Saccharomyces cerevisiae S288C: one gene and its partners. The gene in region 2 interacts genetically with the main gene of each other region. Each region holds a gene or a part of one and is shown on either strand. Other genes may lie near its edges.

Region 1 (7,968 bases), on a different chromosome or scaffold from region 2:
TGTACTAGTATATCTGATGGTGTTGTTGCGAATGCCCAGTAGTTCATATAGTTCTACTTACACCTCACTCATCTAACAAGGTCGGTTGATTAGTTCAATTGTTTCAGTGAGAAGATTTTAACGATAACACTTATGTACTAAGGTAACGTACCTACCAAGCATACAAAATACGTAACAATATAAAAAGAGACGGTTAATAAGTTCCGTTAAAATTTCGTCATCCAGTTATTAGAAAACTGGATGGAACCTTTTTCTTGCACATTAAAAATGGCATTTGTCCTTGTCAGGATTTGGGAATAAGGCTCAGTTAACCTTATTAACTTTTGTGATGTTTTTAACATGACATATTACAGGCGTCAGGATGGGCGAATAATCTAGAAATCGGCAAAAGAAGCTTCGAAAAATTAAGTTTTCAACCCTAAGAGCAGAAAGTAAAAAGAAATAGCGAAGTACAATAGAAACGACAATGACTAAGACCATCACAGTTGCTCATATCCAGTATGATTTTAAAGCTGTTCTGGAAGAAAATGATGAAAATGACGATGAATTTTACATCAATGTTGACAAAAACCTAAATGAAATCAAGGAGCATAAGATAGTAGTGTTAGGAAATAGCAGGGGTGTAGATGCAGGCAAAGGAAATACATTTGAAAAGGTTGGCTCCCACTTATACAAGGCGCGGTTGGATGGACATGATTTTTTATTCAATACTATCATAAGAGATGGTTCAAAGATGCTCAAGAGGGCGGATTATACTGCCGTAGACACAGCTAAACTTCAGATGAGACGGTTCATATTAGGCACTACAGAAGGCGATATTAAAGTATTGGATTCAAATTTCAACCTTCAAAGAGAAATTGACCAAGCTCACGTTAGTGAAATAACAAAACTAAAGTTTTTTCCAAGCGGTGAAGCTTTGATATCTAGTTCACAGGATATGCAATTAAAGATCTGGTCAGTAAAAGACGGCTCAAATCCTCGCACGTTAATTGGACACAGGGCGACAGTCACAGATATTGCCATAATAGACCGAGGAAGGAATGTGCTCTCTGCCTCTTTGGATGGTACAATTCGCCTTTGGGAGTGCGGCACAGGAACGACAATTCACACGTTTAACAGAAAAGAAAACCCGCATGATGGTGTTAACAGCATAGCGCTGTTCGTAGGGACAGACAGACAATTACATGAAATTTCTACTTCCAAGAAAAATAATCTAGAGTTTGGAACATATGGAAAATATGTGATTGCTGGTCACGTTTCTGGTGTTATTACTGTACATAATGTATTTTCCAAAGAGCAAACTATTCAACTCCCAAGCAAGTTCACATGTTCATGTAATTCATTGACAGTCGATGGCAATAATGCAAACTATATTTATGCCGGATATGAAAATGGAATGCTAGCTCAATGGGATCTAAGATCACCGGAATGCCCAGTTGGTGAGTTTTTAATTAATGAAGGCACCCCAATAAACAATGTCTACTTTGCAGCCGGAGCCTTATTTGTATCTTCTGGATTCGACACCAGTATTAAGCTTGACATTATTTCAGACCCAGAAAGTGAACGGCCCGCTATTGAATTTGAGACGCCCACCTTTTTAGTTTCCAATGACGATGAGGTCAGCCAATTCTGTTACGTTTCTGATGATGAATCAAATGGGGAGGTGCTTGAAGTTGGAAAAAACAACTTCTGCGCTTTGTATAACTTAAGTAATCCTTAACCTCTTTCGTACTAGTAACTTTTTCAAAAAAGTTCACTTCGCTGCATGAGCTTGGCGTAATGCGCTTTGAGGGTGATAATGCATTTTATTTCCATATGAAATATGTCTAAAATAGAACAATTCACTAAGAACAAGAAGGCCAAACTAAGCAGAATATGGTAGAGTTGACAATTACGGGTGATGATGATGATATATTGAGTATGTTTTTTGATGAGGAGTTCGTTCCCCATGCATTCGTTGATATACTCTTATCAAATGCCTTAAACGAAGATCAGATTCAAACGCAATCAGTATCCTCATTGCTATTAACCAGGTTGGATTTTTACACAAAGAACCTTACAAAAGAGTTGGAAAGCACCATATGGAATTTGGATAAATTATCTCAAACGTTACCAAGAACTTGGGCATCTTCTAGGTATCACAAAGAAGCAGAACAGAACGATTCCTCATTGTATTCTACTGAATCCTTAAAATCATCGAAGCTTGAATATTACTTAGATACGTTGGCAAGTGCTGTAAGAGCATTAGAAACAGGAATGCATAATGTAACTGAGAAACTAAGCGATCTAGATAACGAAAATAATCGCAATACCAATGTGAGGCAACAACTGCAAAGTTTAATGTTGATTAAGGAGAGAATTGAAAAAGTGGTATATTACCTGGAACAAGTTAGGACCGTTACGAATATTTCGACAGTTAGAGAAAATAATACAACCAGCACGGGGACAGATCTTTCGATAACAGATTTTAGAACATCATTGAAAGCATTAGAGGATACAATCGATGAATCTTTAAGCTCTGCGATTGATAACGAGGCTAAAGATGAAACAAACAAGGATTTGATTGGGAGAATTGATTCACTTTCTGAACTGAAATGTCTGTTTAAAGGCCTAGATAAGTTCTTTGCTGAGTATAGCAACTTTTCGGAGAGCATAAAATCAAAAGCACAAAGTTATTTATCAACCAAGAATATTGACGATGGTATGATATCATAATCGGTGATAAAAACAAAAAATTTGCAATTAACAAAAGAAATTTATAGCATGTTTAAATTCTTATTTCTTTTTACCATTTCCAGTCCTTTTGGTCCACTTGTAATGCATAAAAGGGTAAAAAGGAATTTGTTTAGGAGGACATGCTATTTCAGATAGTTTCTTTTTATTGATTATATAATATAGTGTACAATTTTGAAAATATAACTATTACACACATCTTTTCATTTGGTCACTTACATTTGTATAAACATATAGAGCGCGTCTATTAATAAAAGGCGGTGGACTCTGGACTATCAGATTCCTCCAACAGCGCTTCTTCATCGTCGTGTTTTCCAGTATGGTTTTTTCTGAGGAACTCGAGTCCAAATACGTACTTGAATCTTTGAACGAAAGCAGCCGGAAATACCTTCACTGCTACTTCATCGGGGCAGATTCTCACTAGCACCCCCATGATTAGAGACAACATACCACACAGTACCGCGGTTATCCACATTGATTTGGTTTGTCTGGCAATAGAAAATGGTGCGCCACCAAAAAACATGATTAAAACTTGACAGCTGCCAATGATCGCCATGATCGTGAGAAAATAATAGTTTCTACCCAAGTCTTGGAAGAAATTCAAATTGGCGGCAGAAATCCTGCCTCTCCAGTTTGATATACCATCACCTTCATCTAATTTTCTCGATACTAACATGGTAAAAAATTGCAACCAAACAAAAGTGTTGAATGTCATGGCATTCAGTTGCTGCTGTTGGTGACTTGTTATTTCATCTTCATGTTTCTTGAAGAATAACTCTGGCCCGTAAAAATGCAAAATGAAAGTAACTATCAACTGCAATGTAGCTTGTGATAGAATCATTTTCCAAGTTGACACAGAAATCAAAGAAGTTGAGCGGCCCCTAGGTTTTCTGTCCATGATATTTGGATCGGGTTTATCAGTGGCTAAAGCTAAAGCTGCTAGAGTATCCATGATTAGATTGATCCATAACAGTTGGACCGCCGTCAGTACTGATGTTTCATCACTAGATGCAACGGATGAAACGAACGTTAAAATCACTGCGGTGATATTAACAATTAATTGAAACTGTATGAACTTTTTTATGGAGACTGAAACACATCTTCCCCACTTAATAGCGTTGACAATAGCTGAGAAATCATCAGTCATCAAAATAATGTCAGAAGCCTCTCTGGCAACCTCCGTACCGGAAATACCCATTGAGAAACCAACATCAGCTAGCTTTAAAGCTGGAGCATCGTTCGTACCATCGCCAGTGACCGCAACAACATCTCCCATCCCCTTCAATGTTTCTACTAATAACCTTTTATCCTCAGGCGAAGACCTTGCTAAGACCCTTAAATTTGGCAGGATTCTTATACGTTCGTTTTTCGTTAACTTTCTGAATTCAGTGCCTTCCATTGCAGAATAAGCCTCTGAACTAATATCAGTAGAAAGAATCGCACAATTCCTCGCGATTGCTTTTGCTGTTAATATATTGTCACCAGTAACCATACGCACAGTTACACCAGCACGTTGGCACTGTTGTACTGACTCCCTAACGCCTGCACGTAAAGGGTCTTGAATCCCAAGTAAACCATCTAGAATTAAGCCCTTTTGACTGTTAAATAGCAAGTCAAGAGCAGCTATATTTGGTGAGTCTTTATCACGCAGCTGTTCAGGGGGCCAGCTATCACATTCGCAGAAATCTTTGTGGGCAACACTTATGGCTCTGAGAGCATCGGACGCAAGATTTTTGATTTCATCATCAGTTTCTTTTTTATTGTCCTCATTGATTTCTTCCAAAGTATCATCTGAATTCCTCTTGTACGAACAATTCTTGGAAACAATTTCTGCTGCACCTTTAATGAAAAACCTGTAAAATGGTTTTTTATTTTTGCCTTCTTTGTACTTTACCACTAAGCCGGCCCATTTACGAGAACTTTCAAACGGAATTGTTTGAACAACTTTTTCGATATTAAACTTTTCCATCGGTTGATCTCTCAAATATTGCAATTCTCCCGGTTGTAATCCTAATGATAATCTTGCCAAACTGAGTAAGGCTGTTTCCGTTTTAGAGCCAATAAAGGGTTCTTGCCTACCCTTGTTGACATTTTTGAATAATTGATCCTCGTCATCTTCCCTGTTGCCTTTTTTAAAAAACGATAATCTAGATTTACACTTATCTAAAAAACTCAAATTTTTTGACATATTTTTACTACCATTTGTATTTTTATCGTTTTTCTTATAATCTCTGTTTTCGAAGGCGGTAGAATTCAGGACAATATTGGCTAATAAATCATTTCTCAAGGATGACGAACAATTTTCTTCAAAAACTTTCTTAGAATTCAGCTTCCTTTGTTCGCTAACGGGCAACGATTTACTATCATCAAATTTAGAATTGCCCGGGAAGCCACGAACGACAGTCATGACATTTTCTGTCAAAGTGCCAGTCTTATCAGAGCACACTGCAGTAGCAGATCCCATCGTTTCACAGCTTCTTAAAACCCGTACTAAATTACCGTCTTTTGTCATTCTTGTTGTTGCAAACGCTAAGGCCAAAGTTACAGCTAATGGTAAACCTTCCGGAACAGCCACCACAATAACCGTGATAGATGTGATAAAAATGTTCATAAATTTAGAACCCTTTTGAGCGGGATCTAGATCATGGAACCTGCCATCCTCAGGTATTATGTAAAATAAGTACCTAGTGAAAAGGACCAAGAAAAGAATTATAGCAGACACGCAACCGTAAACGGATATATTATCAGCCAATTGGCTCAAATGTAACTGTAATGGAGTACTTTCAGGTTCGGCATTTAATGAAGTCATGGTTTGACCGTAAACTGAGTTTATACCCACGGACGTGATGACACCCCTGCCCAAGCCAGAGAGAATTCTGGAACCTGAAATCAACATACAATCAGCAATCTTGTTACCGTCTTCGTTAACGTCACCTATATCTAATGGTTTGCTATGGTTATGACTATCGATAGAATTAAATTTTTTGAAATCTCTTAATGAGTTATCCACCGGAAATTTCTGTATTGTGTTAGATTCACCAGTGATGGATGATTCATCTGCCTCACACTTCCCTGATATCATAACACAATCAGCGGGGACAACATCACCGGTTTGTAATGAAATGACATCACCGACTAAAACGTGGTGAATGGAAATTAATATTTCCTGATCATTTCTTATGACTATAATTTTACGGTTTTCCTTCTTTTTATTTAGCTTTGCAAATTGCAACTCCTTCTGGTAATCGTTAGCGGCACTCACTAGAACTACCACAAAGACCGCAATCATGATAGCAACCCCTTCAATCCAGTCAACTTGCTTAATTTTATTTCCTTCAGGATCATACTGTGGAGGTTGCATCCATAGTTCGTATAGACCTAAAACAAAGGAAACAACAGCGGCGACTGTCAGTAATTGCATTGTTTTGTCATTAAAAGCAGCCCATACTAATTGTAAAAAAGACTTTGGTATTCTTTCAGGAAGTGAATTATCGCCATAATTTTTATACCGGTTTGTCTTTCGATAATTTGATATTTCTGGAAGAGAAATGCCTGCATTTTTATCTGTTTTCAAGTATTTGAAGAGGCTGTTAGACTCATATCCAAATAATCTGACAAATGATCTTATTGATTTAGGGTTATGAAGATCCGAAAGTTGACTTTTTGATAATTTGAAATTATCGTAGACTCCGTTCTCATTTCCCGTATACGATGGTTTGTTATTTTCATTATTCGCTAGTAAAGCAGAATTTTCGTCTTGTCTAGACATTATTTTTTTTGTTACGCACACAGTTTTTTTTTTTTTAGAACCACTTTTCTAAACTTTATTTGTTCAAGTTTTATTTCTTTAATTCAATGTCGTATATATGTGATACAATTCTCTTAATACACTTAGTTTTTACTGGAGGCGCATGAGTTTTTTGACGTTTTCTTAAGCCTTTCTATTGAATGAAAATTACCAGAAAAGCCCCTTCTTCCTCAAATTTATGAAAAAATGTTTATTCTTAACCTAAGCCTTCTCAATTGAATCGTGCCAACCTGACTAAAATGTAGTTTGGGGAAGTGAAAAAATCTGAAGAGATTATTTAATTTTTCGTTAAGCCTGCAATTTATTTTGGTAATAATTGCTAGAAAGAAATCGAATATTTAACGCAATTCAAATAAAGCCTTTCCTTGGGGGGGGGCTGATACTATTTGAATGTTTTTGGAAGGCGCCCATTAAATGCAATGCCAAGTGGCGATGATAATGAATTATGAAGATTAGCATTTGTTTAAAAAGCGTGGAGGGCGCTTCTAGGGCCTGAGCCTCCTAATTTTCTTTTCCCCCTGACAAATGATGGAGAAGCTTCTTTGCCGGGTAAAAACCCTTTTTTTTTATCTTTTCTGCGGGCGGATAAAGCTGTTAGTGCCACATGTTTCTATACAAACTGTATTAAAGTAAAAAAATTAATAGACAATTTAGGCCCCTCAAATGGGTAAAATAGAACATATATCAGTATGCACAGCTCACTATTTTAAAAGCGGCAGGCTTGGAGCTGTAGGACCACACTACTGCGACAAAAAAAGATAAAGTTGTGTTTTATTTATGTTTTGCCGTAAGATCGATACTTTTCTTATTCTCATCAAGAAAACACAAACTGCCAAGAACTAAGAAAAGAAGAGCCGTAAACAATGCTTGTAAACCGAAGTATGAAAAGAAAAACTTGATAATTAAATCATCCCCTTTGGCTCAAATATTTATTTTGTATTATTCATGCTTGATTAGTTTAAGAGTGAACTTTACTATCTTAATTTTATTTTAGCCTTTTCAGCTTATGGCACAATAGTGAAAACAAGATCATGTTAAGTTCTGTACCAGAAGAGAGAACCGATAAATAGTTTAATAAGCAGATCAATGCCAAGAATAAGATAAAACAACTATGGAGACTGATGTAAATATACTTGAAGCCGGGCAATAATATAAGCACCGTGAGCCGATTCTCCTCGATCCTACACTGCACCATATAACGAATGGTCTTGGACTATGGAAGGCAGTAACCAACAACAGAAAAGAGAGATTAATTAGAAAAAGACATTTCTCGAGAGAAAAAAAGTAAAGACCTTATCGTACAACTGTTACTGACATTTTTATTTTAAGAAGCTAAACCCTTATTATTAGCGCGCCCAAGTAGGCGCAAAACTAGAGAAGTCGCAGATGCATCCACCCACTTTTTGCCTTATTTTTCCTTAATTTCA
Region 2 (8,860 bases):
TATTATTTAGATGCATTTTTCCCAGCTTTAACCTTTTTATTTAAAGGAAATTATAAAAAAAATTTTAAAAAAATGAGTTTTGCGTATCCAATAAATAATAGACAAGATGCTGTCACAACAGTATTAAAATTTCTGAAAGATTCTGCTGTCTCTGGACTGTGTAATACAACAATTCTTCGGAAAACTTGATTCGGAATAAACAATGGTCTTTCATTTATGGAAAATTTTCTTCTTTGTCTCGGTCACTAAAAAAAGCCTTAGCAAAGCTATATAGAAAGAAAATAGTGATATGGTGTATTTGCCGTAAAACTATGGTTTATCCAAGGTCGCCTTCAGTAAACTTTCGGAAATATATTCATCGGAGATATATTATATAATGAGTACATAGCAATCTAATCATGCTGGGTCTTCTTGCACCCCAATGAAACCATAATCATGTAAATGCTTGAAAATTCCGGGCATACTATCCTCTTCCTCAATAACCCAATCGAAGTAGAGTGCTAGTTGTGCACTATGTCCTTGCTGCTCATTAAATAAATTTACTGACAGTTTGGTGGAATTTCTTTGTTCGATCAGATAGTACTGTTAGGTATTTGTTGACATTTACTTCCCTATCACATCAGACCACTGTTTCTCCTTCCTTTTTGCCATCTTCTTACCTATTATATGATAATATAGTTCAAAAGGAAATACCAGTCAATGAATGATAATTGGCTCTTACTCCAACCGTTCTTAATCTGGACCAGTAATTGTTCTTATGGTGAAAAAGTATGGTGACGTCTTTACTTTTAAAAATATTTTTAACAGTTGAAGGAGCTCCCCGTGTACATCTTGCCAGATCTTCAAGAGAAATGTCACCAAATAAATTATGAAATTAAAGTACAGCGGTAGTGATAAAAACGATCATCAAGTAGTGCCATCCGATATTTCGTGTCAATTTCCAAGCTCATGATTTATGACATACAGGATTTTCAAGAATATTAAATCTTGTTCCTGAGGAATTTTTGATAAATCCAATAAATAGTAAATAATAAGAAAAAAGACAGAACAACAACGTTTTGGTGGGAGAAAGGCCACTTCTCTGACCAGACTAGAGTACTAATATTTACGACAAATATACTGAGACCGTGACCAATGGTAGAAGGTGATTGGCTTGAAAGAAATGCCAACATTAAAGCACATATCACTGCTCTTGATATCAGTAGAGTTGCAAAAAAATTATACTACTAAAATCAGCTCAACGGCAAGAAGTTACTAAGCACAGCAGAAATTCTGGAGCTAAAGAGAATAATATACATACAAGACTGACTGAAAACTCTGTTTTCCACATGCAGTGGACTCAAAATATTCAGTTGAAGAAGCAAGCACAAAATTGGATCAACCCGTCGCGTCGCGGCCGCTGCTGCAGGCGACAAATCCACTGGCAAATTGTACGCGGCCTCGTTACTCCTACTTGAAAACAGAAGTAACAACAACAAATTCAAGTTTCTACGAAATGGGTCTCATGACGACAAGGTGCGCCCCCCTATCTACCTTGTTGTAAGTCTGGGACCTGGGGCTAATTTCTCATCCCCGGAAACAAAAGTATACAACTACGTGGCTAAAAATTTTTTAGTATGCAGCACATAGGATGCCAAGGAGCAATTTTTAACCCTGGCAATCTGAGCTACTGAACGGCCGCCTCAGGACTCATAGTTCTCTATATATAATTTCTCCATGTTTCTCCTTGTGCCTGGTGGAAAATATCAAGTAGTTGCCGCGACATAAAATGAATGCCTCGTAGACACCGCGAAGCCGGAATGAAGGCGGACACTACGGCACCGCCTCAAACCCAACGGCCGAGAGCGAGTTCATCTCCCTCATAGATGCGAACGGCATTGGCACTGACGCCATCATTGTAGAACATATAGACAAGATTAAAATGCGTAATCACATCATGAATGGGAAGTTAGGTGCGGTCCACTACCCTGGGGGCCTCACTGGGGACGTCATCACCCCCAAAGCACCTCAATAAGTCCATAAATAAATATATAAAAATTACTGAATAATAATAAAAAAAATAAATTAGTTCAGTCTAAAGAAATGGAAGCAAAAACCTCAAAAAAAAAATTTTTTTACGAAGACTATGCTTCCAAGACTGACGTCTTAGAGGCATAGTCGAGAAGAAAAGGAATTACTGGCACAGAACGACAAGAAATATCGTGTCGGCGCCAAGGCATCTATGTAACTACGTCTTGTGATCACCGGTATAGCTGGGACTATTCCGTTTCATCATATGATCTGGCCGTCTGCGCTTGTACATTCTGGGCGCCAGGCGTAAATGACCAGAGTAATGTCTTGCTGTAGTCGTCCGTCGCCACAGAAGCGCGTGGACGCATGATCGCGCGCAGCGACCGGTCGGTTCGCAAGACGGTTGGCAATAGGAGTTTCCTGCTGACCGCCTTATTAATTTATATGAAAGAGGAGAATTTGTCATCGGGCTTTCGAATGAAATAAAACAGCTCCTTTAAGTAATGGAACTGGAAGAAGGAAGAGAATAAACGACAGAATTTTCGTGCTCGGAGCGAACACCGCGCCGGGTTACGAACAACAGTGGCCACTACTATAATAGTTATGGAGTAGACGTCAGAATATATAGCGCAGGCGTCAGAGTATAGCGCGGGCGTCAGGATATAGTGTGCCAATGTAGCGTGGTTGCATGCAGCTAGCTTTTTAGTTGAGTCAGACCTGCTCCAAAAAAAGAGGAACACAACTTTCGTCAGCATGTGTTGCTACCGCTATTTGTTCTTCGGGGAAAAAAATTTGCATTCGCTATTGTAGTTTTAATTTTCCTTCTCTATTCTCATAAATAGAGTTAAAATCTTATAAACTCCAGAATTATCAAGAACAATTACCTATATTATTTCCTATTGCAGAATTTATATTATTCTTTATTGTACTGATATCCCCATTATAACTATCAAAAAAAGGACTTCAGCACCTGTATCATCATGAGCTTCAGTAGTATAGTCTCTAAGTTTTTGAGATATTTAGAAATTCCTGCCAAAAATAGGACTGCCGTGAATTTTCTGAGGAACCCTGATTTGCAACCTATCAAGTCTGCAAATCAAACATGGGGGTTCTGGTCTAATTTGGCGTACTGGGGCGCTGTGTCCTTTACAGCAGGTACATGGATGAGTGGTTCTGCTGCACTAAGTGTCGGCCTAAGTTACCCAGAGACCATTGTTTCGTTTCTTCTCGGTAATGTCTTGACCATTATTTTCACTATGGCCAACTCTTACCCCGGTTATGATTGGAAAATCGGTTTCACCTTGGCCCAAAGATTCGTTTTTGGCATTTACGGTTCAGCCTTCGGTATCATCATTAGAATTTTGATGAGTATTGTCAATTATGGTTCCAACGCTTGGTTGGGTGGTCTATCTATCAACATGATATTAGATTCCTGGTCCCACCACTATCTGCACCTGCCCAATACTTTGTCCCCAAGTGTTGCCATGACCACCAAGCAGTTGGTCGGCTTCATTATTTTCCACGTCCTCACCGCGCTCTGCTATTTCATGAAACCCTACCATATGAACTACCTTTTAATTTGGTCATGTGTAGCTACTTGCTTTGCCATGCTGGGTATAGTGATTTACTTGACTAAGAATGCCCATGGTGTCGGTGAATTGTTTACCTCCACAAAATCTACCGTTACTGGTTCTAAAAGAGCATGGGCTTGGGTTTACATGATTTCATACTGGTTCGGTTCCATTTCTCCAGGTTCCACCAACCAAAGTGACTATTCAAGATTCGGTTCCTCCAATTTGGCTATCTGGACCGGTAGCGTCTGTGCATTACTAATCCCAGCAACCTTGGTCCCAATCTTCGGTGTCATTAGTGCCTCCACCTGCGACAAATTATACGGTAAACAATTTTGGATGCCCATGGATATATTCGATTATTGGTTGACAAACAACTATTCTGCAGGCGCTCGCGCAGGTGCCTTCTTCTGTGGTCTTTGCTTTACCATGTCTCAAATGTCCTCCACCATCTCCAACTGTGGGTTTGCCACTGGTATGGATATGGCCGGTTTGTTGCCCAAATACGTCGATATCAAGAGAGGTGCTCTTTTTTGCGCATGTATCTCCTGGGCTTGTTTGCCATGGAACTTCTACAACTCTTCTTCTACTTTCTTAACTGTCATGAGTTCTTTCGGTGTTGTCATGACTCCTATTATTGCTGTCATGATCTGTGATAACTTTCTGATCAGGAAGAGGCAATATTCCATTACTAATGCCTTTATTCTAAAGGGTGAATACTATTTTACCAAGGGTGTCAACTGGAGAGCTATCGTTGCCTGGGTGTGTGGTATGGCTCCCGGTCTACCTGGTATCGCTTGGGAAGTCAACAATAACTATTTCCACGACTCAGGTATTGTTAAATTCTTTTATGGTGATTCTTTCTTCTCCTTTTTGATTTCTTTTTTCGTTTACTGGGGGCTATGTGTCTTCTTCCCATTCAAAATTACTGTTAGACATGATGACAAAGATTACTATGGTGCATTTACCGACGAAGAAGCGAGAAAGAAGGGCATGATTCCATACAGTGAAATTTCTGAGGAAGAAATCCGTGCTTACACGTTAGGCGAATGCTACACAACTGGACACGAATACAAACCTGAGAGTTCTGATAACGAATCACCTGAATTGATCAAAACTAGCTCAGAAAACACTAACGTATTTGAAATCGTTCACCAAAAGGATGATGAAAAGCACTCCTTTAGTACCACTCAACAAGTTGTCTGATGACAAAGAATCCGATAAAATGAAGATCTCAAATATACAAAGAGGAAACTTCAACGCTTCATTTGAAAATCTGTACAGATCTTACAATTTGGGAATACTACCAGATCGATCCTCAGCTGCAAATACTTTACTGTCAAGTATGTCTATGGTGACAAATATCGGCATTATTGTGTATGGCTCAATAATTTTATAAAAAAAGGAACTATTGGTTCTTAGTATTTTCTTGCTAGAAGACATATTCTTACCAATCCTTTCATAAGCTAATTATGCCATCCATATAGCAAGAGAATCCGGTGGGGGCGCCATGCCTATCCGGCGGCAACATTATTACTCTGGTATACGGGCGTAACTCCATAATATGCCACCACTTACCTTTAACATGTTCATGGTAGGTACCCCACCCAGCCATAAGGAAATTTTCAAAGGCGTTGGATCAAAAAATAGGCCTTTATTTCATCGCGTGATTGAGGAGCATAACATGTTTAGTGAAGGTTTCTTTTGGAAAACTTCAGTCGCTCATTATTAGAACCAGGGAGGTCCAGGCTTTGCTGGTGGGAGAGAAAGCTTATGAAGCTGGGGTTGCAGATTTGTCGATTGGTCGCCAGTACACAGTTTTAAAAAGTCAGAGAATGTAGAGAAGTATGGATCTTTGAAACCCTTTTATTTTATTTTACTTTTTTTAGAATGACCTGTTCCCGACACTATGTAAGATCTAGCTTTTAACATATTATGGAAACCTGAAATGTAAAATCTGAATTTTTGTATATGTGTTTATATTTGGGTAGTTCTTTTGAGGAAAGCATGCATAGACTTGCTGTACGAACTTTATGTGACTTGTAGTGACGCTGTTTCATGAGACTTTAGCCCTTTGAACATATTATCATATCTCAGCTTGAAATACTATAGATTTACTTTTGCAGCCATTTCTTGGTGCTCCAAGGTTGTGCGTATCTATTACTTAATTTCTGTCCTTGCCAAGTTTTGCAGCAGGGCGGTCACAAGACTCCTCTGCCGTCATTCCTTAGTCCTTCGGGAACACACTTATTTATGTATTTGTATTCTACAATTCTACGGTGCACAAGGGTTGGGCACTGTTGAGCTCAGCACGCAACTATTGCTGGCATGAAGATAAGATTGATTTTTGGAAGAATAAGCTTGTGGAAGTTACCTGTCTCTTATTTTTTTTTCCTTTTTGCACTTTTTTTTGGTGATCACTTAGGTAACAATCTATAACACAGCAGTATGAACCCACTAGTTAACCATTCTGCGCCGATGGTATACCTTTTTCATTGCTTAATTGTCTGTGAGAGGCTTGATAAGCTAAGGCTCATGGCGATAAATCCACGATGAACTCGTTTAATGCAAAATATAGGTCGCGGCTTGCCGGGTACCAAGTCGCAACAAAGCTCCCCGAATTGTTTCGCCCATTCATCTGACAGGACAGAATGCCAAACATATGATGCATGATGCAGCAAAGAGCACAGTAATCACTATTTTCTGCATATCATATAGCCAGATTGCTATAGTGTTTGGCTTTTGTCCTGCTGTTAATTGTTTTGTTTTCTTTCTATTTTTATAACTATTATTGGAGAGTAGATCAAGGATACAAATAACAACAACAACCACCAATACCGACCACTTAATAAAAGTAACCATATAATGGGTGTGAGATCCGCTGCAAAGGAAATGCACGAACGGGACCATAATTCGGACAGTTCCAGTTTAGTAACTTCCCTGATGAAATCTTGGAGGATATCGTCGGCTTCTTCCTCCAAGAAGCCATCGTTATACAAAATGAATACTACTGAATCTACTAGTTTACCCTCGGGTTATGCTTCCTCGGCAGATAGAGATCGGAGAACCAGTGACGGTAATTTTGAAGCTATGGCAAAGCAACAAGCAAGCACTAGACGTACCTCGAATTCCTATTCACCTCTACGATATGTAAACCCCACTCTAAGCACTGCAAGTAACGAAAGTCCCCGGCCTGCTTTACTCTTACGTCAGCATCACCAGCGTCATCACCACCATCAACAACCCCGCCATAGCAGTAGTGGTAGTGTAGGCAACAATTGCAGTAACAGTACAGAGCCTAACAAAAAGGGTGATCGATATTTCAAAGACTTAGATGAGGATTGGAGTGCTGTTATTGACGATTATAATATGCCTATTCCTATACTTACTAACGGTGGATTTGGTACACCTGTAGCTCCAACGAGAACTTTGTCGCGAAAATCCACTTCTTCTTCCATCAATTCGATTTCGAATATGGGGACCTCCGCAGTACGGAATTCTTCCTCCTCTTTTACATACCCTCAATTACCACAGCTGCAAAAAGAGAAAACAAATGATTCCAAGAAAACTCAGTTGGAAATCGAAAACGAACGGGATGTTCAAGAATTAAACTCCATCATCCAGCGCATTTCTAAATTTGACAATATTTTGAAAGATAAGACAATCATAAATCAACAGGATCTGCGCCAGATCAGTTGGAATGGTATCCCAAAAATACACAGGCCTGTTGTTTGGAAATTATTAATAGGTTATTTGCCTGTGAACACCAAGAGACAGGAGGGTTTCTTACAAAGGAAGAGGAAAGAATATAGGGATAGTCTGAAACATACCTTTTCTGACCAGCACTCAAGAGATATCCCAACTTGGCATCAGATAGAGATAGATATACCGAGAACAAATCCCCACATTCCCCTCTACCAGTTCAAATCCGTACAGAACAGTTTACAACGAATACTATATCTTTGGGCAATCAGGCATCCTGCTAGCGGATATGTGCAAGGTATTAATGATTTAGTTACACCATTTTTCGAGACTTTTCTTACCGAATATCTGCCGCCTTCACAAATAGATGATGTAGAGATAAAGGACCCCTCTACTTATATGGTAGATGAACAGATTACAGATTTAGAAGCGGACACGTTTTGGTGTCTTACCAAATTGCTCGAACAAATTACCGATAACTATATTCACGGACAACCAGGCATATTAAGACAAGTGAAGAATTTGAGTCAGCTAGTGAAACGAATTGATGCTGATCTATATAACCATTTTCAAAATGAACATGTGGAGTTTATACAGTTTGCATTCAGATGGATGAATTGCCTTTTGATGAGAGAATTTCAAATGGGTACAGTAATAAGGATGTGGGACACATATTTATCTGAAACTTCACAAGAGGTCACTTCTTCTTATTCTATGTCGTCCAATGACATTAAACCTCCTGTTACTCCAACAGAACCTCGAGTGGCAAGTTTTGTTACACCAACAAAAGATTTCCAATCTCCCACCACAGCTCTTTCTAATATGACACCAAACAATGCTGTTGAAGACAGTGGAAAAATGAGACAGTCTTCGTTGAATGAGTTTCATGTGTTTGTTTGTGCTGCATTCCTCATCAAGTGGAGTGACCAGCTAATGGAAATGGATTTCCAAGAAACTATAACTTTCTTACAGAACCCTCCTACAAAGGACTGGACTGAAACGGATATTGAAATGCTTCTGAGCGAAGCCTTTATTTGGCAATCTCTTTACAAAGATGCTACGTCGCACTGGCTGTAAACGGACCTATTCATTTTACTTACTGTATAGTATGTAATAATATAAAACAAAAATCTCCTAATTCATAAATCCTGAGGAACGTGACACATAAAGTTATTGTATACAGATCATCTAAAGATTGGTTTGGTAGAATGTCTCCCAAAGCTCGATGCATTCTTTTTGAGATTCAATGGCCGCTTCTAGTGATATTTCCATGCCGTTTCGGAATTCCCGAATTTTATCAGTAGAGAAACCTTGGAATTCATCTTTTATTTTATCTCCTACCGCTTGCCATTGTTTTTTTGTAAGGTTATACCTTCTCTCCAATGTTTGAAATTCCTTTCTCATTTCTCTGAATTTTTCTGAATGAATATTTTGACCCAATTTGCCCAATTGTGAGTGTTTCTTATTCATGTCATTTTCTATTACTACCAAGAAATACCCCAATTTGGATCTCTGATTGAAAATTGCTTTTACGCTTGCCAATGACCTAATATAGTCGTCCAGCATCACACCCATCG
Region 3 (7,880 bases), on a different chromosome or scaffold from region 2:
TTTCTGCGGGATCTCATTTTCCCAGTACGACTGCAAGATACCCGCGTTCTGAATAGACTCAGCCAACGAATGCTTCTGCAGGATAGTTAGAGAAAGTTTCCCCTCAAGCGTGTTCAGCAAGTCGTACTTCCTTATGTATCCATCGCTACCGCCCAAAAACAGGTACTTGAGACCCCTGGACACGGCCAACGCATTGACGTGCGTCTGGATGGGTATGGCTGCCGTGGGGTAGATATTGTACGAATCCGCAATCTGTGCGGCATTCAACATGTGCTTATAGTACTCATAAACCTCTCCATTAGCAGAGGCTTCGTGTGTAGAGGAAGATGCTTCCCTGGACCCCACTCCTCCATCAACATCGCTCAATTTCACATCCTCGGATCCAATCTTAGTAACAGCATCGCCACTATCGCCTGCACCGCCAGCACCAGCAGCAGCAGCCTTTTGCTCATCATGCTGGTGCTCATTCGTCGGTGTAGCAGTCTTATCCATTCTTGCGGCGTCGTCCTCACCATCGTCGTCCTCCTGTTCATCGTCGTCCTCTCGTTCGTCCTCGTCATCATCATCGTCCTCATCATCATCATCGTCATCCTCTTCATCTTCACCACCGTCATCATTCCCCTCGAGGTCCTGCTTTGAGTCGTTTTCCAGCCCACTCAGCATCTCTTCGTCATCCTCCTCGTCATCCACCACCTGGTTGTTAATTAGAATATCGTCAACCTCGTCCATTACGTAAAAGAAGAAAAAAAAAAAAACTGAGCCTTTAGTACACTACAGTTACTGCTACAGCCTTTTACAGCCCAGCATCTGGCACCACTACGCTATAATATATGATGCGTCTATTATGCTAGAATCCTTCCTGAAAGGGCATTCTGGAAGCCCTACGTACAGAGTGACAATATATTAGGGCATCCATAAAAATAGATTAGGGCAGCTCTGCCATTTTTTTCATAGCCGAAAGAAGAAAAACTGAAAAAAAAAATGATACGAAAAAACCGCGAAACGACGCCTTTTGTTGCGATTGTCGGGCATCGCAAGTTACGACGCGTTGTCCCTTGCATCGCTGCCGTGTGGCACGACCCACTGCGGCCTAAACGACCGAGATCGGTGCCCGGGGCAGACCACCCGAAAACTCCCGGGCATTATTTCGGTCGTTTAGTTGCGCCCCAGGGCAACCGGGGTGTATACGAGGCCGATGGCTGCGATAAACGAAAAATTCAGGCTCGTATAAGTGGCACAATAGAAGGTGAAGAAGAACAGCAGGTGCATTGAAACAAGAGGTTCAGCAGCGATCGGGTATTGTTGTTGCTGCTATTATGTAACGGTCGAAAGAAACATCGCGGTATATATTAGAGGCGGATTTCTATCTTTCTTATCAATTCGTTTTTTCATTCACTTGTTCATTCATTCTTTACATTTGTCTTGTTCTTTGAAGTGGTTGCAGAGGAGGTCAGTTTGTTGCATTTGTAAAAAAAGATAATAAGAAAAATATTCGTCTAGATTTGAGATATGGATTTGGTCTTAGAAGTCGCTGACCATTATGTCTTAGACGACTTGTACGCTAAAGTTCTGCCCGCTTCGTTGGCAGCTAATATTCCTGTCAAGTGGCAGAAATTGCTAGGGTTGAACAGTGGGTTCAGCAATTCTACGATTTTGCAGGAGACTTTGAACTCCAAGAATGCCGTCAAAGAATGTAGAAGGTTCTACGGGCAGGTGCCATTCCTGTTTGATATGTCGACGACGTCTTTTGCATCGCTATTGCCTCGTTCCAGCATCTTGAGAGAATTCCTCTCACTATGGGTTATTGTTACGATCTTTGGTTTACTACTTTACTTATTCACGGCTAGTCTCAGCTACGTGTTTGTGTTTGACAAGTCGATTTTCAACCATCCTCGTTACTTGAAAAACCAAATGGCAATGGAAATCAAGTTGGCAGTCAGTGCTATCCCATGGATGTCGATGTTGACCGTTCCATGGTTTGTTATGGAATTGAACGGCCATTCTAAACTATACATGAAGATTGATTATGAAAACCACGGTGTAAGGAAGCTCATTATCGAGTACTTCACTTTCATCTTTTTCACTGATTGCGGTGTGTATTTAGCGCACAGATGGTTGCATTGGCCAAGGGTCTACCGTGCTCTGCACAAGCCTCATCACAAGTGGCTGGTCTGCACACCTTTCGCATCTCATTCTTTCCATCCTGTAGACGGGTTTTTGCAATCCATCTCGTACCACATCTACCCATTGATTCTGCCATTACACAAGGTTTCTTATTTGATTCTGTTCACTTTTGTTAACTTTTGGACTGTTATGATTCATGACGGTCAATACCTATCAAACAATCCTGCCGTCAACGGTACTGCCTGCCACACGGTTCACCATCTATATTTCAACTACAACTACGGTCAATTCACCACTCTGTGGGACAGACTAGGGGGTTCTTACCGTAGACCAGATGACTCATTGTTTGATCCTAAGTTAAGAGATGCTAAGGAGACCTGGGACGCTCAAGTTAAGGAAGTTGAACATTTCATCAAGGAGGTCGAAGGTGATGATAATGATAGAATCTATGAAAACGACCCAAATACCAAGAAGAACAACTGAATACGGTTGCCTTGTTTGTCTCATCTTTTTTCTTTCTTTCACGTTCAAGAACTTTCACACAACGAATAACGTTTATATATTTATATACACATACATGTTTTAAGATACGCATATCATTATGATGTACACCTCACGTTAGTGCAATATGCGCTATTCGTATATTAAATTTTTGCGTTCATTTAATGGCTCTTTTTCCTATTCTAGTGAAAAAAAAAACAGAAAATCGAAGAGCTGGAAAATTTAAGAACAGGCAAATAGGAAGCTGGAAGCTTTAAAATGCCCAAGATTTCGGTGAAGCGCAAGTGTTAACTAGAAAAAGGCCGCCACTACTCTATAAGCAAAACCTTATGTCCATAGCGCGATTAGTATACTCTCTTTTCAGAAGAGTACGATCGGTTCTCTTACTTTTCATTACCATATCGCTATTGTTTTACTATACGTTCCAGAATGAAATCGATATCTTGAATTCGTACGCTTTAAACGACTCACTACCGTCCATAAACAACTATGAGCACAATACAGAAGGTTCTTCGAAACTGGATCCTCCAGACCTATCGTCAACCGGTTCTGACCGAATAGCCACCGACAAGGAAAATGGCAACGTTGCAGTGGATTTGTCAGATCCAGCTACATTGAGAGAAAAAAACAAGTACTTTCCCTTGCTGTTAAAGGGATCGTCTCACCAGATTGGTTCGAATTTACCAATTTCGTCTCTTTTGACATATAAGGAAAAGTATCCCGTCTTGTTCGAATACTCATCACCTTCCTTAACTTCTATAAGCCAGAATGACGTTCATAAGATACAGCCGGCAATGCAATTGCCACCAGATGTTGATATGATAAAACAGATAAAGGACATTTTCATGAAATCATGGAACCAAGAGCAGTTGCTGCTGAAAAGTAACCTCAGAAGGGAATCTACTTGGCCCATAGATCTAATTGATTCTCTAGATACATTGTATCTATGTGGCGAGACGAAACTTTTTCAAGATTCTGTTAATATAATAGAAGATTTTGACTTTCGAGTACCTCCGTTAGCAATGGAAGTTATTGATATTCCTGACATCACTACCCGTGTCCTAGAAGGGTTACTGTCTGCATACGAATTATCTATGGATAAACGATTACTTAACAAAGCAAAACATGTTGCAGATTTCATATTAAGATCATTTGATACCCCTAATAGAATTCCTATTTTGAAATATTTTTGGAAATCTGATCTGAGAAATCGATTTCCAGACCGTACTGTTCCATCAGGTCAATTGACTACTATGGCACTCGCGTTTATCAGATTGTCACAGTTAACCCGTTTGAATAAGTATTTTGATGCTGTTGAAAGAGTTTTCACCACTATACGTCAATCATATAACGAATTTGATATGGAGTTTATGCTGCCTGACGTCGTTGATGCCTCTGGTTGCCAGTTATTAACTCAAGAGGAAATTGAGAATGGTGCACACCTAAAGGGATCCAGCATCATGAAAAGTATCAATGAAAATTTCAAGTTCGTACACTGTCAGCAGTTAGGGAAATTCTTAAATCCTCCAATAGATGATAATAGCCTCCAAGAACAATCTCAATACCAGGCTTATAGAATTAATGAAAAAACAGTACCCATTCTAGAAAATCTATTCAAAATCAATGACCTCTTCCAATCTTCTTATGATATCCTGGACGGCTCAAGTAAAAATGCTAATGCTGCAACGATGGACCCCAGTATTGGTTCAGAGGTAGAAGCAGTCGACGAAATAATTGAGAAAAGAAACTTTAAAGACGGTACTAAAAAAGATTCGACAAAAAACACCGTAGGTGATAAATCATTAATAGACTCGCAAACGTTTTTAACAAATTCCATCAGTAACATTTTTAAATTCATGACTTTTCGACCCATGTTGCCCAAGCAAACGGAAAACAAAAAGTTTAATTTTCTGAATTCCATTCTAACAAAATCTCAATTCATGCCCACGACTAATGAGCTAGATGTCACGATAAGAAAATCTTACGATGTCTCGTTATACTCATGCAGACTTGGCGGCATTCTAGGTTTAAGTTCACGTGTTCCCCACCGAGGCGGTGTCAACACGAAATATATTTTACCATCGTCACTATTGGAAATGAGCGAAATAATAACAGAAAGTTGTTTTATGCTAATGGAGGAGTTCGACGGGCTGCTCCCTCAAAAATTCGAGTTGGACCCTTGCACTGATGAGACTAATGGGAATTGCGAGTTTAACGGCGAAACTAAATCACGAATGATTGCCAACGGCGAATATGAAACTTTTGAAAATGACCTAGATGTCGGGATCAAAGTTTCGAATTATGGGAAAGGTGGGAATGACCAGAAAGCTAAGAGAAATGTACTAAGCAAAGATGGGATAACAGAGACTCAAAACATAAAAGGTGATACTGTTGGAAGCTCGAAATCGATTGCTGAAATAGACGGCGACGAAGTAACGCAAATACGTAGAGTTTTTACGCTTGGTAAGGATATCAAACCGCATATTACAACGGACGATACCATGGGTTCTCAGTGGAAAAACCATCCAGACTGGCCATTTTGGGTCAACAAGGTAGAATCCAGAAGATTGTTGGATTCGAATATCATTGAATCTATATTTTATATGTACAGAATCAGTGGAGAACAAAAATGGAGAAGCATGGGTAAGCAGTCTTTTGGAATCTTAATGCAAGAATTAATGGAACTAAACAGTGGTGCCAAAGGATTGTGGCAAATAAAGGAATTTTATGAAAACGGTGAAAAAGTGAACAATGATTTACCTAGCTATTGGTTCTCCAGAACATTAAAATACTATTTGCTACTATTCAGCGATGGTGACAAGGTTTCCCTGGACAAACACATCTTAACTCAAGGAGGGCACATAATCAAAAAGAAATGAAGTTAACGTTAGAAAAATCGTACGCACATACATACATACATATAGGTACATATATACATAATGAGAAGAGGAGAAAATGAATACTTATACAGTAATGTTTATTTTTTTGGGATTAAGTGTCGTTGTGGTGATTTCTTTACACAGCCAATGGGTATTCGCCAGCCCAGTCGTAAATTTCCTTTTTCCAGGTGTTCAAAACATCAGAGCCTTCGTCGACCTTGGCTTTGAAGTCCTTTAATCTACAAGCATCCTTTGGCAAGCTTTGTTGAACTTGTTGAGCGAATTCTACAGCCTTGTTAATGTATTGAACAATTCTGTGGAAATCTTCTTCACCCATTCCTCTAGTGGTCATGGCTGGAGCCCCAATACGGACACCACCTGGAACCAAAGCAGATTTGTCACCTGGAATAGAGTTTTTGTTCAAAGCAATGTTAATCTTTTCACAAATGTATTCAACACGAGCACCATCAACACCCTTTTCTCTCAAGGATACTAGAACCATGTGAGAATCGGTACCGTTGGAAACTAATCTGTAGCCCAAGTTCTTAAATTCACTTTCCAAAGCCTTAGCATTCTTCAAGACTTGAGTTTGGTATTCCTTGAATTCTGGAGTGGCAGCTTGCTTCAAAGCAGTGGCCAAAGCAGCAATGGTATGGTTGTGTGGACCACCTTGGTGACCTGGGAAAACAGAGAAGTTAATTGGGTTTTCCAAGTCGTATAGAACTTCCTTACCGGTCTTAGGGTTGATAGATCTCACACCTCTTCTGAAGAAAATCATAGCACCACGTGGACCTCTCAAAGACTTGTGAGTGGTGGTGGTAACGATATCAGCGTATTCGAAAGGAGATGGGATGACACCTGCGGCGATCAAACCAGAAATGTGGGCCATGTCTACCATCAAGTAAGCACCACATTTGTCGGCGATTTCTCTCATTCTCTTGTAGTCAATTAAACGACAGTATGCTGAAGTACCAGCAACAAGAACCTTTGGTCTATATAGGATGGCGTTCTTTTCTAAAGTATCGTAGTCGATAATACCGGTTTCTGGGTTAACTCTGTATGGGAAAGATTCGAAGTATGTGGAAACAGCAGAAATTTTTCTGTTTTCAGTAGCGTAACCGTGAGACAAATGACCACCATCTGGTAGGTATAGACCCATCAATCTTTCATGAGGCTTCATAATAGCTTGATAAACCTGCAAGTTAGCAGGAGAACCAGATAAAGTTTGGACGTTAACACCCCATTTGTCTGGAGTAACATGGAAAGCTTTCAAAGCTCTTTGTTGACATAGAATTTCCATTCTGTCAATGTGTTCATTACCACCGTAGTAACGAGCACCTGGATAACCTTCAGAGTATTTGTTGGACAATGGAGTTCCAAGGGCATCGAAAACGGAGGTTGAGGTGAAATTTTCAGAAGCAATCAAATCGATGGAGTGCTTTTGTCTTTCAATTTCATCCTTGATAATGGAGTCCACTTCAGGGTCGGTGTCCACCAAATGAGAGGTGATCAACTTATGATGAGCGTCGGATAGAGTGTAAGGCATGTTAAGGAGGATTCGGTTTAAGCTGTTATGCTTTGCTATGGGGTAGTATCTTTCGTAAAGGTTACACTAGAAGAAGGAAAGATTACTGAACGCAAACTAAGGGAAGCAAGTTCTGCATTATATATAAAACAAGATGAAGAAGACTCATGGTTCGGTCTAAGATGATTATGAATTTAAAAATTATACAGAGTAAAAAGCGAACATGAGAAACCCAAGAGATAGAGTCAAACCTTTATGGTCAAAGCAACCTGAAAGGGTCATTTCTCACCAGGAGTCATGTTTCGTGTGTGAAATATTTGAAAAATTTCACTTCTTTTTTCTTTTTTTTTTTCTACATTAAAAATCGGTGCGTTGTCTTTTCAAAGATGAGGTAGATGAAGATGGTGACTCCGGCTGTTCAGATCCGATTGACTCGACCGACTCTGTTTCCTGTGGTGGCTTCAAGTAGTTGTCCATGTACCATTGCAATTGAGCTATGCTCTCTTTGATATCACTATAAGCAGTGTGGGCAGCTTCTTTTTTTGGATTACGTGCTTGTAAAGCGGGATTGTGTCTGCGGGCAACTTCCATGATGCTACTGACGTCAACTATTCTGTAAAAGAGATGATCAATGACCTTGGGAAACTCGCGGACCATGAACAAGCGGTCCATATGTACACTATTGCCTGCCAAGACGCCAACGTTCTTGTCTGGGATGTAGCGCTGGATGTACTCGAGCAGCTCATCTTCTACCTGGGCCAAAGTCTTCTCACTTGCCAAAACTTTGGCGGTGAGACCGCTATTACCGTGGTGCTCAATACACCACTCGTTCATTTTGTTCATCACCTCGG
Region 4 (2,942 bases), on a different chromosome or scaffold from region 2:
GGAAACAATACAAGTGGAAAAGTCTGTTGATGAAGGTGATGAAGAAGCAGGATTTAAATTTTTGTAATTTAATTTTGCTACGTGTCGAATAAAAGAAAGAGTCAAAGATCTAAGTTTATACTCAGATGAATGCAATCCAATAGAGCAAATCAACGAAATACATTCTGCTTTGGTGGTGGCGAAGTGACTTCTGTTTAATATGGACAGGATTTTTTCTTGCAAGATAGCCTTGACCGGCGGTCTTCCATTTGCTGTGTTGCCGATGTACAGCGTCTGAAGAAAGGTGATGAACTCTTCGTTTTCATAAGGCATGGGAAACCGTTTCATGAACTGAGCCGCATCATCAGATAAATTTGTAGAATCCGTAGAGACAACGCACAAAAATTCCATCAGTTCAATCATCCTAGGTGACTGCTCAATAGTTTGGGTAGCCGCCATGCCACGGCAAACAAATTGAAAAATAGCCTTTTTGAACTTATTCAGCTGTTCTTTGTTGAAAGTAACGCCCGCATCATAAGTAAAGAATGCCACATCAGTTAGAGATAGGCCCGGACATGTGTAACCTCTCGACAGGGGCTGTTGAGAAACCTGGACTTGCTTTGAAGGTACCAGCAGAAAAAACCTGGTAAATTGGCGCATCAAAAACGAAAAACCGTCGTTGTCCAGTTGAAGGAACTGAACAAATTCTTCCTGCTCATGTGAAGACTCCTGGGGTGCAACCCATTCCAAAATAAGCTTCAAAAGGATGTGGAACATTCTGGCGGCTACTGTGCCTGTTAGACACGAGATGTTCGAAACGACTAACGGTAGCAACTGCTGTCTATCTTGCAAGGAAAGCCTATCTATGCCTTTAGACGCCAGTAGCAGACTGTAAAGGCGGACATTGGTCGAGTCTTGTTGAGCGGCTAAATTGGGTTCCTTTGCTTGGACAATAAGCGCCCTCACAGGAAGCTGAACCTGGGGCAGCGTATTTATCCTAGAAATGAGGTTTTTTAAGGCTGAAAATACTGCTGTTCTAACGGAGGCATGTGGAGAGGCGAGTTTTAGTAATAATGGAGGCAAAAAAGTCTGCAGATTAGTTTCGAACTTTTGAGGGGAATCTGCGATAGCCAGGCGCAATTCTGCCTTCTCCACGAGCTGTTTTTCTTTCGCTTCGTCAGAAGAAATGGACATAATGTTGTTCGTGGTGAAATAGAAACTTTTCTATAATTATTGTATTATCCAATCCTGCACAAAGACAAAGAGATCAGTTATCGAGAGCTTACCAGCTTCTTTATATCAGGAAGTACCTTTTTTTTGCCACCAAGAAAAGGCATATGGATATACCGGGTAACACATAAATACCAAAACTCTGGCGGCTAAACTGGTAAAACCTGATATATACAAAGATCAAATAAGTATAAAAGCTTTCAAAGATGCTTATGAAAAATCTCACGAGATTGGTAGTTACTGATCAGGCACAAACTCCGCAGCCAAAACAATATTTTGAAAATATGTGAGCATTCAGCAAGAGACCTTCAACTGCTCCGAATGTGCATTTCACAGCAATGCAACAAAAGTCAATGACACTTGCAAACCCAGTGTAAGACGCCTACTCTTGTTCAATCAGTTAGTTATCTTTGTTCAATAGTGTGGTTGGTAACCAAATTTTCTAGGCGTTGTTGAAAATAAAGAGAACGAAAAACAAAAAAAAAGAGATAAAAAGACAAGGAAAAAATAAACTAACTAGACACAGGGAAAAGCCCAATTCCAGACAAGCAACCACACCACATGAGCTCACAACCGTCTTTCGTCACCATAAGGGGCAAGGCCATTTCTCTAGAAACACAAACGGAGTCACTTCTTTCCAAGTACTCCACATTCGCGCAGACAACTAGTTCAGAACAAACTGGCCAAGAAAAGAAGATAGACAAGCAGTTGGAGGGAATCTTAGGCCAGAGACAGGATGTAATCGATTCATTAACACAAATCTGCGATTCTAACCCGGCAATCTCCGCCTCAAAGCTTTCCCAACTGCACCGCCACAAGGAGATCTTACAAGACCACTGGAAGAGCTTCCGCAATATCAGGTCCTCCATCCAGCAAGAGCGCAACAGACTAAACTTGTTATTCAGCGTGAAGAACGATATTGCTAATTCCACAACGGACGCGCCAGCTCCTATAGGGGATGCTGACGAGTACATTCAGAACGAAACAAGGCGAATCGATCAGTCCAACAACGTAGTCGACCGTCTCATCTCCCAAGCCTGGGAGACTCGGTCGCAGTTCCACTCGCAGAGCAACGTGCTGAACACGGCAAACAACAAGGTGTTGCAAACTTTACAAAGAATACCAGGTGTCAATCAGCTTATTATGAAGATTAACACGAGAAGGAAGAAAAACGCGTTTGTATTGGCCACGATAACCACCCTTTGTATACTGTTTTTGTTTTTCACATGGTAAATAACGACTTTTATTAAACAACGTATGTAAAAACATAACAAGAATCTACCCATACAGGCCATTTCGTAATTCTTCTCTTCTAATTGGAGTAAAACCATCAATTAAAGGGTGTGGAGTAGCATAGTGAGGGGCTGACTGCATTGACAAAAAAATTGAAAAAAAAAAAAGGAAAAGGAAAGGAAAAAAAGACAGCCAAGACTTTTAGAACGGATAAGGTGTAATAAAATGTGGGGGGATGCCTGTTCTCGAACCATATAAAATATACCATGTGGTTTGAGTTGTGGCCGGAACTATACAAATAGTTATATGTTTCCCTCTCTCTTCCGACTTGTAGTATTCTCCAAACGTTACATATTCCGATCAAGCCAGCGCCTTTACACTAGTTTAAAACAAGAACAGAGCCGTATGTCCAAAATAATGGAAGATTTACGAAGTGACTACGTCCCGCTTATCGCCAGTATTGATGTAGGAACGACCTCATCCAGATGCATTCTGTTCAA

What was found.
Region 1: mutations in GYP1 (region 2) and COG7 together harm fitness more than expected from each alone (negative genetic interaction), as found in Saccharomyces cerevisiae (6 studies listed by BioGRID, with this or other methods).
Region 3: mutations in GYP1 (region 2) and ERG3 together harm fitness more than expected from each alone (negative genetic interaction), as found in Saccharomyces cerevisiae (5 studies listed by BioGRID).
Region 4: mutations in GYP1 (region 2) and GOS1 together harm fitness more than expected from each alone (negative genetic interaction), as found in Saccharomyces cerevisiae (6 studies listed by BioGRID, with this or other methods).

The regions. Positions count from the first base shown.
Region 1 is NC_001139.9:484,455-492,422, reverse strand, and holds COG7 (Golgi transport complex subunit COG7), read left to right. Parts: upstream 1-1,875; coding exon 1,876-2,715; downstream 2,716-7,968. Other genes in the region: RPN14 (Rpn14p), read left to right, coding at 467-1,720; calcium-transporting ATPase PMC1, read right to left, coding at 2,981-6,502; YGL006W-A (uncharacterized protein), read right to left, coding at 6,890-7,000. UniProt on the Saccharomyces cerevisiae protein: Acts as a component of the peripheral membrane COG complex that is involved in intra-Golgi protein trafficking.
Region 2 is NC_001147.6:455,407-464,266, reverse strand, and holds GYP1 (GTPase-activating protein GYP1), read left to right. Parts: upstream 1-6,446; coding exon 6,447-8,360; downstream 8,361-8,860. Other genes in the region: YOR072W (uncharacterized protein), read right to left, coding at 2,451-2,765; NRT1 (nicotinamide riboside transporter), read left to right, coding at 2,991-4,787; VPS5 (sorting nexin 1), read right to left, coding at 8,472-8,860. UniProt on the Saccharomyces cerevisiae protein: GTPase-activating protein (GAP) that stimulates specifically the intrinsic GTPase activity of Ypt/Rab-type GTPases YPT1 and YPT7. Functions on the Golgi as a negative regulator of YPT1. Functions on the vacuole as a negative regulator of YPT7.
Region 3 is NC_001144.5:252,352-260,231, forward strand, and holds ERG3 (C-5 sterol desaturase), read left to right. Parts: upstream 1-1,509; coding exon 1,510-2,607; downstream 2,608-7,880. Other genes in the region: SAGA complex subunit SPT8, read right to left, coding at 1-729; putative mannosidase MNL2, read left to right, coding at 2,955-5,504; glycine hydroxymethyltransferase SHM2, read right to left, coding at 5,641-7,050; REX2 (Rex2p), read right to left, coding at 7,387-7,880. UniProt on the Saccharomyces cerevisiae protein: C-5 sterol desaturase; part of the third module of ergosterol biosynthesis pathway that includes the late steps of the pathway. ERG3 catalyzes the introduction of a C-5 double bond in the B ring to produce 5-dehydroepisterol.
Region 4 is NC_001140.6:38,315-41,256, reverse strand, and holds GOS1 (Gos1p), read left to right. Parts: upstream 1-1,770; coding exon 1,771-2,442; downstream 2,443-2,942. Other genes in the region: ECM29 (Ecm29p), read right to left, coding at 1-1,173; GUT1 (glycerol kinase), read left to right, coding at 2,749-2,942. UniProt on the Saccharomyces cerevisiae protein: Involved in transport from the ER to the Golgi apparatus as well as in intra-Golgi transport. It belongs to a super-family of proteins called t-SNAREs or soluble NSF (N-ethylmaleimide-sensitive factor) attachment protein receptor.